Oryctolagus cuniculus: one gene and its partners. The protein of the gene in region 3 binds, or shares a complex with, the protein of the main gene of each other region. Links are inferred from orthologs where the notes say so. Each region holds a gene or a part of one and is shown on either strand. Other genes may lie near its edges. The genes, in order: SLMAP, STRN3 and SIKE1.

Region 1 (4,401 bases), on a different chromosome or scaffold from region 3:
CGTGACATCCCCGGGCTACGGCGCGGGAGAGGGGGTAGGAGGGCCCTTGAAGGGTGCGCGTTCCCGTGGCGGTGCACCGGGTAGGTTTCAGTCAGAGTCACTATGGCGGCCGGCGCTGGCAAGGTAAGCTGAGACGGCGACGGCGGCGGCGGCGGCGAGGGAGGCAGGAGCCGTCGTAGCGTCCCGGCCCCAAATCGCCGCAGTCCGTCTGCGGAGAGGTCGGCCGAGGTCGTGGCCAGCGGCGGAGGCTAGCTGGGGGTTGGCTGAGCGGGGCGAGGGCTGAGGCGGGCGGGCACCAGCGCCTGACGGCCGTTTGTTTTGATGTTTCCCCACCAGGTCGGAAAGTTTCCTGCCTCGTCTGGCACAGCCTGAGCTCGCCCCGCTGGCCGCGAGTGGTGGAGGCTGCGGCGGACCCAGCCCGGGGCCTCCAGGCCTCTCCCTCAGCCTCCGGGCCAGTCTCCCACCCCACCCCCCCACCCCCACCTCCCCGTCCGCCGAGAGCTCTGCGGCTGCTGTCCCTGAGATGCGACCCTCGGGGGGACGACCCTGAGGGGAGGCGGCCGGTGTGCTGAGCAGCCGCGGCCGGGGAGCCCGGGCGTCCAGGGACCAACTTCCCGCCAGCCGGGAGCCCCGCGCCGCGCCCGGGTAGCGCCTCGCTCGGTCCGTACCGGCCTGCGGAGCGGGTCCCGCCCCTGGTCGCGGAGACGCCCGCCAGGTGCCGGGGAGTCCGGACGCGGCCGCTGCCTGCGCCCCCGCCGGCCCCCACGCCTGGCGCGGGCGACCCCTGCCGCCGCCGCCGCCGCCCCAGCTCGTGCGGGGCCGGGGACCCGGTGGGCCATCCGTGCAGCAGCAGCAGCAGCAGCAGGGGCGATGAAGACCGTCCCGCGGGCCGCCTAGACCCCTCGCCGGCCTCCGCTCCCCCGGGGCCCTTGCGGACGGGCGGCGGCTGCCCCTGGCCTCGGCTCCGGAGGACCTTGCCGGCCGCCCCGAACGGACCCTTCCTTCATGCTGCAGTGCTGCAACGTTTCCGCCAGCGAGGGGGCACCGCGGCCGCGATCGCACACAGAACCCCGGAATCGCCGTGTGACTCATCTGCTTGGAGACCTCCAGCCCCAAAACTGCCTTCCAGGAGTTTTCTTGGCCGAAGCTGCCCGATGTTTGAGCCTCTCCTTCCCAGGGAAGATGGACTGAAAGCCGCCAGCGGGGGACTGTTTGCGATCGGGGCGCTGCTGGGTTTCCAAGGAGGCCATGGGGCTTGCGCTGGGCTGCCTTCCCACCCCAGTGAGGAGCTGCTGATGTGCCCTGGTTATGCTTAGACGATGCGCAGTTTGTTGTAATTGAAAACAAAAAATTACTTGAGGGTGGGGTGGGGAATAAGGGGGGAGGTCTACGCTTGTGAAGGGCAGTCCGGATCTGGAGGAACTCCTCGTTGTCCCTGGTAGGAGAGACACCGCCAGTCTGTCCTCGATGCCGTCAGCCTTGGCCATCTTCACCTGCCGCCCGAACTCGCACCCGTTTCAGGAGCGTCATGTCTACCTGGACGAGCCCATCAAAATCGGCCGCTCGGTGGCCCGCTGCCGGCCGGCGCAGAATAATGCCACCTTTGACTGCAAAGTGCTGTCCAGGAACCATGCTCTCGTCTGGTTCGACCACAAGACCGGCAAGGTAATGTCTGACACCCTGTGCTTTGCCTTTCCTTTTGCCCTCCCCTGGAGGCATCATGGATGCATGATGGATGCATGATCCCAGAGTTTGCACCCCAGAGATCGCTTTCAGCAAAGCGGTGGAGTCAACTTTGTGTGTGCCTGGTTCTAGGGGAAACTGAATAGAGGTGGTTGAATGGAAAACACAAGGTATTGTAATCAAATGCCTCGGAGGCCAATGGCATCTTGATAGTGTGGTGGTTCCCAGGGCTTCTCAAAACTGAATAGTGAGACTTGGGACTAGCTGTGCCATCTTTTTAGGAAGGTGGGTTTGCAGTTTGGCGCTTGATTAAGCAAGCTGCAGTTCCCGTAGCAAGGCAGGGGATCCGTGGCCAGCTTTACTGAGGATTTCAGATCAGGGCTTTTCTAGATAGGAGGATTGCTTGTGTGAACCTAATGCTGTTGACAGTTTTGATAGATATTTACCCTTGAAGTGGTACTTTGCAGTAATCAAAGCCAATTAAAGCACGGACAACTGACTTCACAGTTTCAGAGTTTTGTTTCCAGGTGACAAGCAATAGTTAACATATACCTGTTGCTTTCAAAAATCACTTTTTGATGTTCCCTTCAGCACTTTTTAAATACTTAATGCATACTTACAGAGGTGACATTCAAAAATTAGTATGAGGGAATTAATTTGTTTTCTGAAATTAAGTTCAATTCTGTTAATTATATTCTTCCCCAAATGAGGTATTCATTTTAAGTGTAACAATTTTAGCATTTTTATGTGGATATGTAAATTACTATATAGATGTGTGCTTATATATTAAGAAATCAGGAGGCAAATACTAAGTCTTTCAGGTTTTAAAAACTGTGTGTGTATGGAGAGTATACTGAAAGAGCTCATCTTTCTGCTTTACCCACAGGTTTTAGTTGAACTACTGAATTAATTTAAACTTTAAGTTATGTAAGACTAATAGGAATAGCTCAGGTTTCGCCTCCTGACTTTTTGCCCTTTTCTGAGATAAATGATGAAGTCTTCCTTAAAAGAAGAATTAAAATTTTTTCAAGATTAGTGTTTTGAAGTGAAAAAAGCCTGAACCTCAAAAGCAAGAGAGGAAGCAAAGCTGCTTCTGCAGCGACTCAATTAAACAGTTATTATATAAATTATTTTCTAAGGAAAGGAGGAAAAGATTGCCCAAGTGCTGTGTGCTTGCATAATACCTATAACCTACTCTGGTGTGTAGGATGTAGACTGAAAAGTATGTTAATTTTTCTGTATAATGCCAGATGCTTATTTACGTATGGAACATACCCTTTTACCTCCCTGGAAGCTAAAGTTTGGATGCCTCAAAGACTTCACAATTTACACACACTCTTTTAAAATGAATATTCATAAAGCTCATCACTCTGGTCTTTGAATTCAGACATTGGTTAGTTACTAGTACCTTAACCAGCTTTTACATCTTTTGCTCCCTGCCCCCCAGCAACAGTTAGGTCCAACCTAATTAGGTAACAGATTTGCTCTCAGTACATAGATACATACTCTATAAATTCACTTTCATTCATTCAGCAATCAAAGGAGACTTTTTTTTTAACTTACTTGAAAAACAGTGATTACATGCAAGGTGTTCTCCATGCCTGTACTAACACCCTCACAAGAAATTATTTTGCAGTGACTAAGAATAGATCAGTAGTGAATGTTTAGCTGGGAATTGGATGACATGTTAAAACTTTGAATGGAACTTGTTATTTAGAAAAACTTATTTTTGAAGGGTAGATTTGGCTTATTCCTACCATTTTCACCCCCCCCCCCCCCCGACGTTATTGGGTAAAATGAAACTCTGGACATGAGGCTATGCCTTTTTTTATGTGTTTGTTCATTTTTAAGGACTTTTTTTTAAAAAAGATTTATTTATTTGAAAGACAGGGTTACAGAGAGAGAGTAGATCGAGAGGTCGTCTGTCTGCTGGTTCACTCCCCAAATGGCAGCAGTGATCAGGGCTGGGCCAGGCTGAAGGCAGGGGGTTCATCAGGTCTCTCACTAGGGTGGTAGGGGTCCAGATATTTGGACTCTCTTCTGGTGCTTTCCCAGGAGCATTATCAGGGAACTGGATTGGAAGGGGAGCAATGAGAACTTGAGCTGGTGGTCATATGGGATGCTATCATTGCATGGGGCAGATTAACCTGCTGTGCCACAATGCCATTCCCAGGATATCACTTTTCAATGCTAATTTTATGGATCATCTTATTGTACTTAAACCTATAGGTTTGCCACAAGTGGGTTTTAATATTCTTTCCCACTCATTTTCCCAGGGATGTAGCAGTTGAGTATTGCCCTGCTTAGGTGATGGCCCTTGTAGGAGGCCACATTCTTAAAATTAGATGACAGGTGGCCAGCACTGTGGTGTAGTAGGTTAAGCATCTGCCTGGCATCCCATATGGACACCATTTGGAGTCCTGGCTGCTCTACTTCTGATCGAGCTCCCTGCTGGTGGCCTGGGAAAGCAGTGGAAGATTCAAAATTTTAACATGTCATCCAGTTCCCAGCTAAACATTCACTACTGAGCTATTCTTAGTCATTGCAAAATAATTTCTTGTGAGGGTGTTAGTACAGGCCTCTGCACCTGTGTGGGAGACTCAGAAGAAGCTCCTGGCTCCTGGTTTCAGATTGGCCCAGTTCTGGCCATTGTAGCCATTTGGGGTGTGAATCAGCTGATGCAAGACCTCTCTCCCTGCCTTTCTCTCACTCTCTGTA
Region 2 (3,650 bases), on a different chromosome or scaffold from region 3:
AATTTTGATCAGAAATTTAATTAATTAGTTATTCAGTATACATGAGTTACTTCATTTTAGAAGTGTCAAGGTAAATAAAAGAGGACATTAAAATAAAAATGATAGAGCTTTAAAGCTAAAAGATATTTTGAAAATTACATGGGTTTAACTGACTTTCAGGAAATTGATGTTGGTGATAGAACTGCTTTTCCCCTAGACTTGTTGCTGTTACTTGAAGAATCTTAGCAGTTAAGGCTTCATTCCAGTATACTAACACACCATATATCAGACTACTGGGAAACCAATTATGTATGAATGCTCATGTTTTCATCACAGACTAGAATACTTAGTGTATCTTGAGAAAGCAGACTGATTTCACCAACAGCCTGTTACTTAAAAAAAAAAAAAACTATATGAGCTACTTTGAGGCCAATGGTAGGGATTTGTTTGCCATGAATAGCTGAATTCTGATATTTAACACTTATTAAATAAAAATTTGTCCTATTATTTAACATGTGAACTATAGTTATAATTATACTGAGACAATAAGAAATTTTTAAGTAAAGCTTTTGTGCCTCGCTTCCCACCATTGAGTAATATATGTAGTGCACATTTGATTAGTGGGAGATAACTACATTGTAGTTCTGAAACATTTCTTTATTACTACCCAGTAATAGAATTTTTGGAGTAGAAGTGGGAAATTAGAAATTAATTATATTACTGAATATTGTAACTGTTAAGTGCTTAAATTTCCCCCACAATATTGTCTTGTACTGTATGATTTTTCAGCATTTAAGAAGCGGTTTTGTTCTTTATAGCTGAACCAATAACGTTTCCATCTGGAGGAGGCAAGTCATTTATTATGGGTTCTGATGATGTTTTGTTAAGTGTACTGGGCCTTGGAGACCTTGCAGACTTGACGGTAACAAATGATGCAGACTATAGTTATGATGTAAGTGCAGTTTTATTTTTAATTTTTTAATGATTTAATAGAAGGCTCCTTATTTTTTGGAATCACTAATAAAACAGAATTAATGTCAAGGTGCATGGAAAAGACAAGTTTAAGTGTGTCATTGTGTTGATTTGAAGTGACATGTAGTTTTTCTTTTATAAGTATTTTCTTTGTGGTGTTTAAATTTTTCTTAGGTATTTTGGTGGATTGGCTAGGAGTTTGGAATGATTGTCTTAAAATATTGATTATAAATACCTCCTGAGTAGTCAACTCTCAATTATTTATTCAAATTATGTTATATGGTGTTGACAAGAAAGAAAAATAGATAATCTGAATAACTTATTTACCTTCAGGATACCTAAAAGCATGTATCTTAGATTTTCTTAAGGATACTGTTAAAGTTAGCTTGCATCATTTTCTGAACACTTAACTCTCATTAGCGGGATGGGAGTAGATGGGAAAGACAGTGTTAGAGGTGAAACTAGTCTTGGATTAATTTTTTTTCTAGACATTGAGCAATCAATTGAGAGTTAACTATATTTTAGATTTTATGTTAATGAATTGGAGTTTTTCAGCAATGTTTTTCCTTTTATAGCAATTCATTTTACTACATTTAATTATGTTAACATGCCTTTTAGAGTCATCAGCCTTGCTCGGCTGGATTATTCTTGATAATATTTTTAAAGTGTGTAAGCAATGAAGTTGTAAATTTTCACTACTTTAAAACTGATTTCACAAACTATCCTTACAAATGGAAAAATAAAAACATTAACCTGCAACAATATCAAGAATTATGAAAATATGCATAAAGGGTCTTTAGTTCAGACATTTAGAAAGTACCTTAATTTGCTGCCTTATTAAAGTTCACATGCTAATAATTTCCTAATTGGCAACTATACTTTTAATTATTGTACCTTTGGATATTTGGTAATAATTTATATATTTTACTTTGTATTTGTGTAAAATATTGCAGCAATGGTAGTTATTTTGTTCTCATCTGATGTATGATAGGAGCTTTGTGTTTAGCTTGACAATTATGTCGATAGGTTATGGAACTCTTCATTTGATCTTGGTATTTGAAAGGCTATTGAAATTCTTCTGAGTTCTTATTAAACTATAAAGATTTGTTACAAAGTTTTTGAGGTCATTACTTTTCCACTGGACATTTTTGCCAAACAGTTTTAAATATATGTTTTAAACACACAAAAGTTCCACTTGCCTAACAATTTATAACTTTTACCACTAAATATTCCACTCTTTCTTTTTAGTTGCCTGCCAATAAAGATGCCTTTCGAAAAACATGGAACCCCAAGTATACACTGCGTAGCCATTTTGATGGAGTACGGGCATTAGCTTTTCATCCTGTAGAACCTGTGCTGGTCACTGCCTCTGAGGACCATACCTTGAAACTTTGGAACTTGCAAAAAACAGTTCCAGCCAAAAAGCAAGTATTTTAATGTTTGTCTGTTTTTTCTTCTACTTATTTTGCTAATATGTTAATTATTCTTTTTTCTGTCTCATGTCTTTTATGCACACATTTGATCTACCTGATGATTCTTTTGATAACCAGTGATTTATAATTACTTAATTGTCTTCTCTTCCCCACCCTTTTCCCCCATTTTCTAGGAGTGCCTCTTTAGATGTAGAGCCTATCTACACATTTAGGGCCCACATGTAAGTTTTATTGAACTATAGTACTTAATTAACAGCTATAATTATTGTTAGCTATTAGTTATCAATCCTTACACCTTGTAATTTTTTTCAACATTTGTTTTATGTTATAAAATACATTAGTTGAATATCTTGTTTGATAATTGATTTGATGAGAATATGAATATAATAGTATTGTTCAAATGTACATGTTTACCTAAAACAATTTTTAGATGCCATATAAATTTAAAGGTTAGGAGAATGGGCATTTGAGTTTCTTCCTAGAATCTGTAAGTAATTTTCTCCCTTTTTTAACAGTGGCCCTGTTCTATCATTAGCTATTAGTTCTAATGGAGAACAGTGTTTTAGTGGAGGTATTGATGCAACCATCCAGTGGTGGAATATGCCTAGCCCCAATGTGGATCCATATGACACATATGGTAAGTAAAAAGATCACAGTTTTTTTTTTTTTTTTCCCTTTCAGTACTAATTACAAAAAGGAGAAGAAAACAAAATCTAAGTAACAAACTTTAAAGTTGAATTAGGTTGCATTAACAATGTTAAGTGGAAGATGATGGAAACAAATAGTTACAGTAAGGGTGTAACTCATACAGCATTTTATTTGGTAGAAAATTCTTAAGGAGCAGGAATTTAGCCTAGCAGTTAAGACACAAGTTCAGATACCTGTATACTATATTGAAGTATCTGCAATCTGCACTCTGCCCTGGCCCCAGACTCCACCTTCCTCCTAATGAAGACCCTGGGAGTTAGAATTAATACCCTCCTTGTGGGAGGCCTCCATAGAATCTTCTAAATTCAGCCCCATGCTAGCTAATTGAGGGCATTTGGGAAGTAACCAGCAGATGGAAGTTCTTTCTGTCTTTCTCAGAGGAGGAAAAAAAATTCTTTGGTTTCAAAGTGGATAAGAAAAAATTTCTAAAACGTTGACTAACAAATAGCAGCCTTAGAAGTCTCTCCCACAGAAATACCTGCCTATGTCTCCAAATATTTACAAGGGTATTGGCCATAATTATAAAGGGTTAAAATGTTTATGATCTACTTGTTCTTT
Region 3 (3,104 bases):
AATGATGTAAGTTGAGAGGCCAGTAATTGGTGTTGTGTTCATTGAGTGCTTCATAGTTGTCATTATACAATCACATGTACTATTACTGAATCCTGGACAATAGATTGGAGCCTCACTAATTGCTGCAGTGGAAGATACAGTTCATCTCAGATCCTTTTGGATGCATTTTATTGATTTATTTTCATTTTATTTGAAAGGCAGAGACAGAAGGTCTCACATCCACTAATTTAATGCCCACAATAGCAGACCTGGGCCAAGCTGAAGCCAGAAACCTGGAACTCAGTCTGGATCTCCCATGTGCATGTGGGTGAAAGAGACCCAACTACCTGAGCTGTTCCTCTGCTGCCCCCAGGATGCACATTAGCAGGAAGCTGGACCAGAGGCCGAAGAGCTAGGACTTGAAACCAGGCACTCCGAAATGGGATGCAGGCATCCCATACAGCATCTTAACTGCTGTACTTGGATTCCCACCAAAGGGATATTTTAAATACTCGATTCCTTTCATATGAAAAATAAAAATAAATGTTATTTACTGTGGTTCAGAAGGAAAAATATGAACCTTCAGGGAGACAAAGTTTAGCTCATTCAGAAATACTTTCTAAGCAATATGACCGGATAAAGACACCTTGGTCTGTGGTAAGCTTCTTGCCAGTAAAAGTCTTCAAATTTAATTGAAAAATGGCCACCTGATGATATCGTCCAACATTTAGTTGTTCTTAGACTTTTGGATTCATGGGGCAGGCGTTTAGCCTGGCAGTTAAGATATCCTTGTCCCATGGAGTATTTGGGGTCTGTGTGCCTGCCTCCAGTTCCTGATTCCAGCTTCCTGCTAATGCAGACCGGGGGAGGCAGTGGTGATGGCTCAAGTAATTGGGATTTTGCCACCCACTTTGTATACCTGGATGGCATTCCTAGCTCCCAGCTTCAACCCAATCCAGTCCAAGCTGTTGCAGATACTGGGGAATGAACCAGCAAATCAGCGAGAAGTGTACTCCCTCTCTCTCTTTACCTCTAAAGTAAACAAATTTCCTTTTAAAAATTCTTTAAAATAAAAAAATTTTTTGTGAATGCCATAAGCTCACTCTATTATGACTTTACTTTCCATGACTCAGATTATAGTGTAACTACATTGTAACTTGTATAATATAGAAAAAATGAACTTTTAAAAATCATAATAATGTGTTCTCATGCACTTCATATCTGTAGAATGACTTTTTTCCCCCCTCTTAATTTCTCTACAGGAAATTGAGAGTCAGATTGACAGAATCTGTGAAATGGGAGAAGTGATGAGGAAAGCAGTTCAGGTAGATGATGACCAGTTCTGTAAGATTCAGGAAAAGCTAGCCCAATTAGAGGTAAGATTGCTGCCATTTTTAGTTCATGATATTTCACAGTTTTCATAGTCTGGAATATATGCCATCACTACCTTATCACTGTAATATATTGATATTTTCTGTTTTCTTACGACTTAAAACTCTTCATATCGTTTTAAGAAAGACAGTGTTGGCTGGCGCTATGGCTCAATAGGCTAATCCTCTGCCTGCGGCGCCGGCACACCGGGTTCTAGTCCCGGTCAGGGCACCGGATTCTGTCCCGGTTGTCCCTCTTCCAGGCCAGCTCTCTGCTGTGGCCTGGGAGTGTAGAGGAGGATGGCCCAACTTCTTGGGCCCTGCACCTGCATGGAGACCAGGAGAAGCACCTGGCTCCTGGCTTCGGATCAGCACCGTGTGCTGGCCGCAGCAGCCATTGGAGGGTGAACCAACGGCAAAGGAAGACCTTTCTCTCTCTCTCTCTCTCTCACTGTCCACTCTGCCTGTCCAAAAAAAAAAAAAAAAAAAAAGGCAGTGTTGTAATAAACAGCATTCTGTGAAACTACCAACCAAGAATTGCCTAGAGGTTGAGATACTATGAGAGTAGAGAAAGTGAAAGGAATAGGTTATATGAGCCAGTATTCCCCATCTGCCACAGGAGGAAGTCATATGAGTAATACCTAAAGTTGATGACTAGGAAATACAAGTGTAGGCAGATTATTTAGAATTAAGGAAGAAAAGACATAAAGTGGTACTGCTTTTAAGGAACAAAGCCAAGGAACTGCTATTTATTTTATCAGCCTCACATTCTTGATTTACAAAAAAGGGGGCAGAGTTAGAGAGGGGGAGAGAGAGAGAGAGAGAAGTCTCCCATCTGCTGGTTCACTCCCCAAATGGCCACAGTGGCTGGGGCTGGGCCAAGCCAAAGTCAAGAGCTTCTTGTGGGTCTCCAAGGACTTGGGCCATGTTCCACTTGTTTTCCCAGGTCATTAGCAAGGAACTGGATTGGAAGTGGAACAGCCAGAACTTAAACCAGCACCTATATGAGATGCCAGCACTGCAGGCGGAGGCTTAACCCGCTGCAACACCATGCCGGCCCCAAAGTCTTGATTTTTTAAAAGCTATTTTTGTGTAATATTTTTATTAAAATAGAAATATACAAAAAAGGCCTGGATTATTAGTGTACCCCATAAAAAAAATTGTTTTTTTGACAGGCAGAGTGGACAGTGAGAGAGAGAGACAGAGAGAAAGGTCTTGCTTTGCCATTGGTTCACCCTCCAATGGCCGCCGCAGCAGGCGCACCACACTGATCCGATGGCAGCAGCCAGGCGCTTCTCCTGGTCTCCCATGGGGTGCAGGGCCCAAGGACTTGGGCCATCCTCCACTGCACTCCCTGGCCACGGCAGAGAGCTGGCCTGGAAGAGGGGCAACCGGGACAGAATCCGGCGCCTCGACCGGGACTAGAACCTGGTGTGCCGTCGCCGCAAGGTGGAGGATTAGCCTAGTGAGCCGCGGCGCCGGCCTCCCATAAAAATATTAAGGAAAAACATTTTGGTAGGTGGTTTGTGTCCTACTTATTATAAGTTGTTATAATGGGCTTTTGAGAAAAACCAGAGAGCTGGACTGGCACAGTGGTGCAGTGGGTTAAGTCACTGCCTATGACACTGGCTATCTCTTTTGGGTACTGGTTCAAGTCTCGGCTGCTCCACTTCTCCTGCAGCTCCCTTCTAATGCACCTGATAAAGCTGCGAAAGGTGGCCCACGTACTTGTGCACCTGCTCCCATGAGGGAGAC

Evidence for each region.
Region 1: the proteins of SIKE1 (region 3) and SLMAP are in contact, whole or in part, in a crystal structure (PDB 6AKM), measured with the Homo sapiens proteins. The link is inferred for Oryctolagus cuniculus from reciprocal best matches to the Homo sapiens genes SIKE1 and SLMAP. Residues at the interface, in NP_079349.2 of Homo sapiens: Ile5, Ile8, Leu9, Ala12, Lys13, Leu16, Leu19, Arg20, His22, Asp23, Ala26, Glu27, Leu29, Val30, Ser33, Ala34, Leu36, His37, Val40, Met43, Arg44; in NP_001291349.1 of Homo sapiens: Leu168, Tyr171, Leu172, Glu174, Ala175, Arg178, Glu179, Met181, Leu182, Lys185, Thr188, Leu189, Leu192, Leu193, Ile195, Thr196, Ala199, Ser200, Thr202, Ser203.
Region 2: the proteins of SIKE1 (region 3) and STRN3 are in contact, whole or in part, in a crystal structure (PDB 6AKL), measured with the Homo sapiens proteins. The link is inferred for Oryctolagus cuniculus from reciprocal best matches to the Homo sapiens genes SIKE1 and STRN3. Residues at the interface, in NP_079349.2 of Homo sapiens: Glu96, His97, Ala100, Leu103, Ile104, Ser106, Lys107; in NP_001077362.1 of Homo sapiens: Arg176, Leu179, Tyr182, Leu183, Val186, Tyr188.

Annotation. Positions count from the first base shown.
Region 1 is NC_091441.1:92,184,984-92,189,384, reverse strand, and holds the start of SLMAP (sarcolemmal membrane-associated protein), read left to right. Parts: upstream 1-1,467; coding exon 1,468-1,665; intron 1,666-4,401. UniProt on the Homo sapiens protein: Associates with the striatin-interacting phosphatase and kinase (STRIPAK) core complex, forming the extended (SIKE1:SLMAP)STRIPAK complex.
Region 2 is NC_091443.1:44,422,868-44,426,517, forward strand, and holds part of STRN3 (striatin-3), read left to right. Parts: intron 1-797; coding exon 798-931; intron 932-2,199; coding exon 2,200-2,375; intron 2,376-2,557; coding exon 2,558-2,605; intron 2,606-2,899; coding exon 2,900-3,021; intron 3,022-3,650. UniProt on the Homo sapiens protein: Calmodulin-binding scaffolding protein which is the center of the striatin-interacting phosphatase and kinase (STRIPAK) complexes.
Region 3 is NC_091438.1:55,566,671-55,569,774, forward strand, and holds part of SIKE1 (suppressor of IKBKE 1), read left to right. Parts: intron 1-1,241; coding exon 1,242-1,355; intron 1,356-3,104.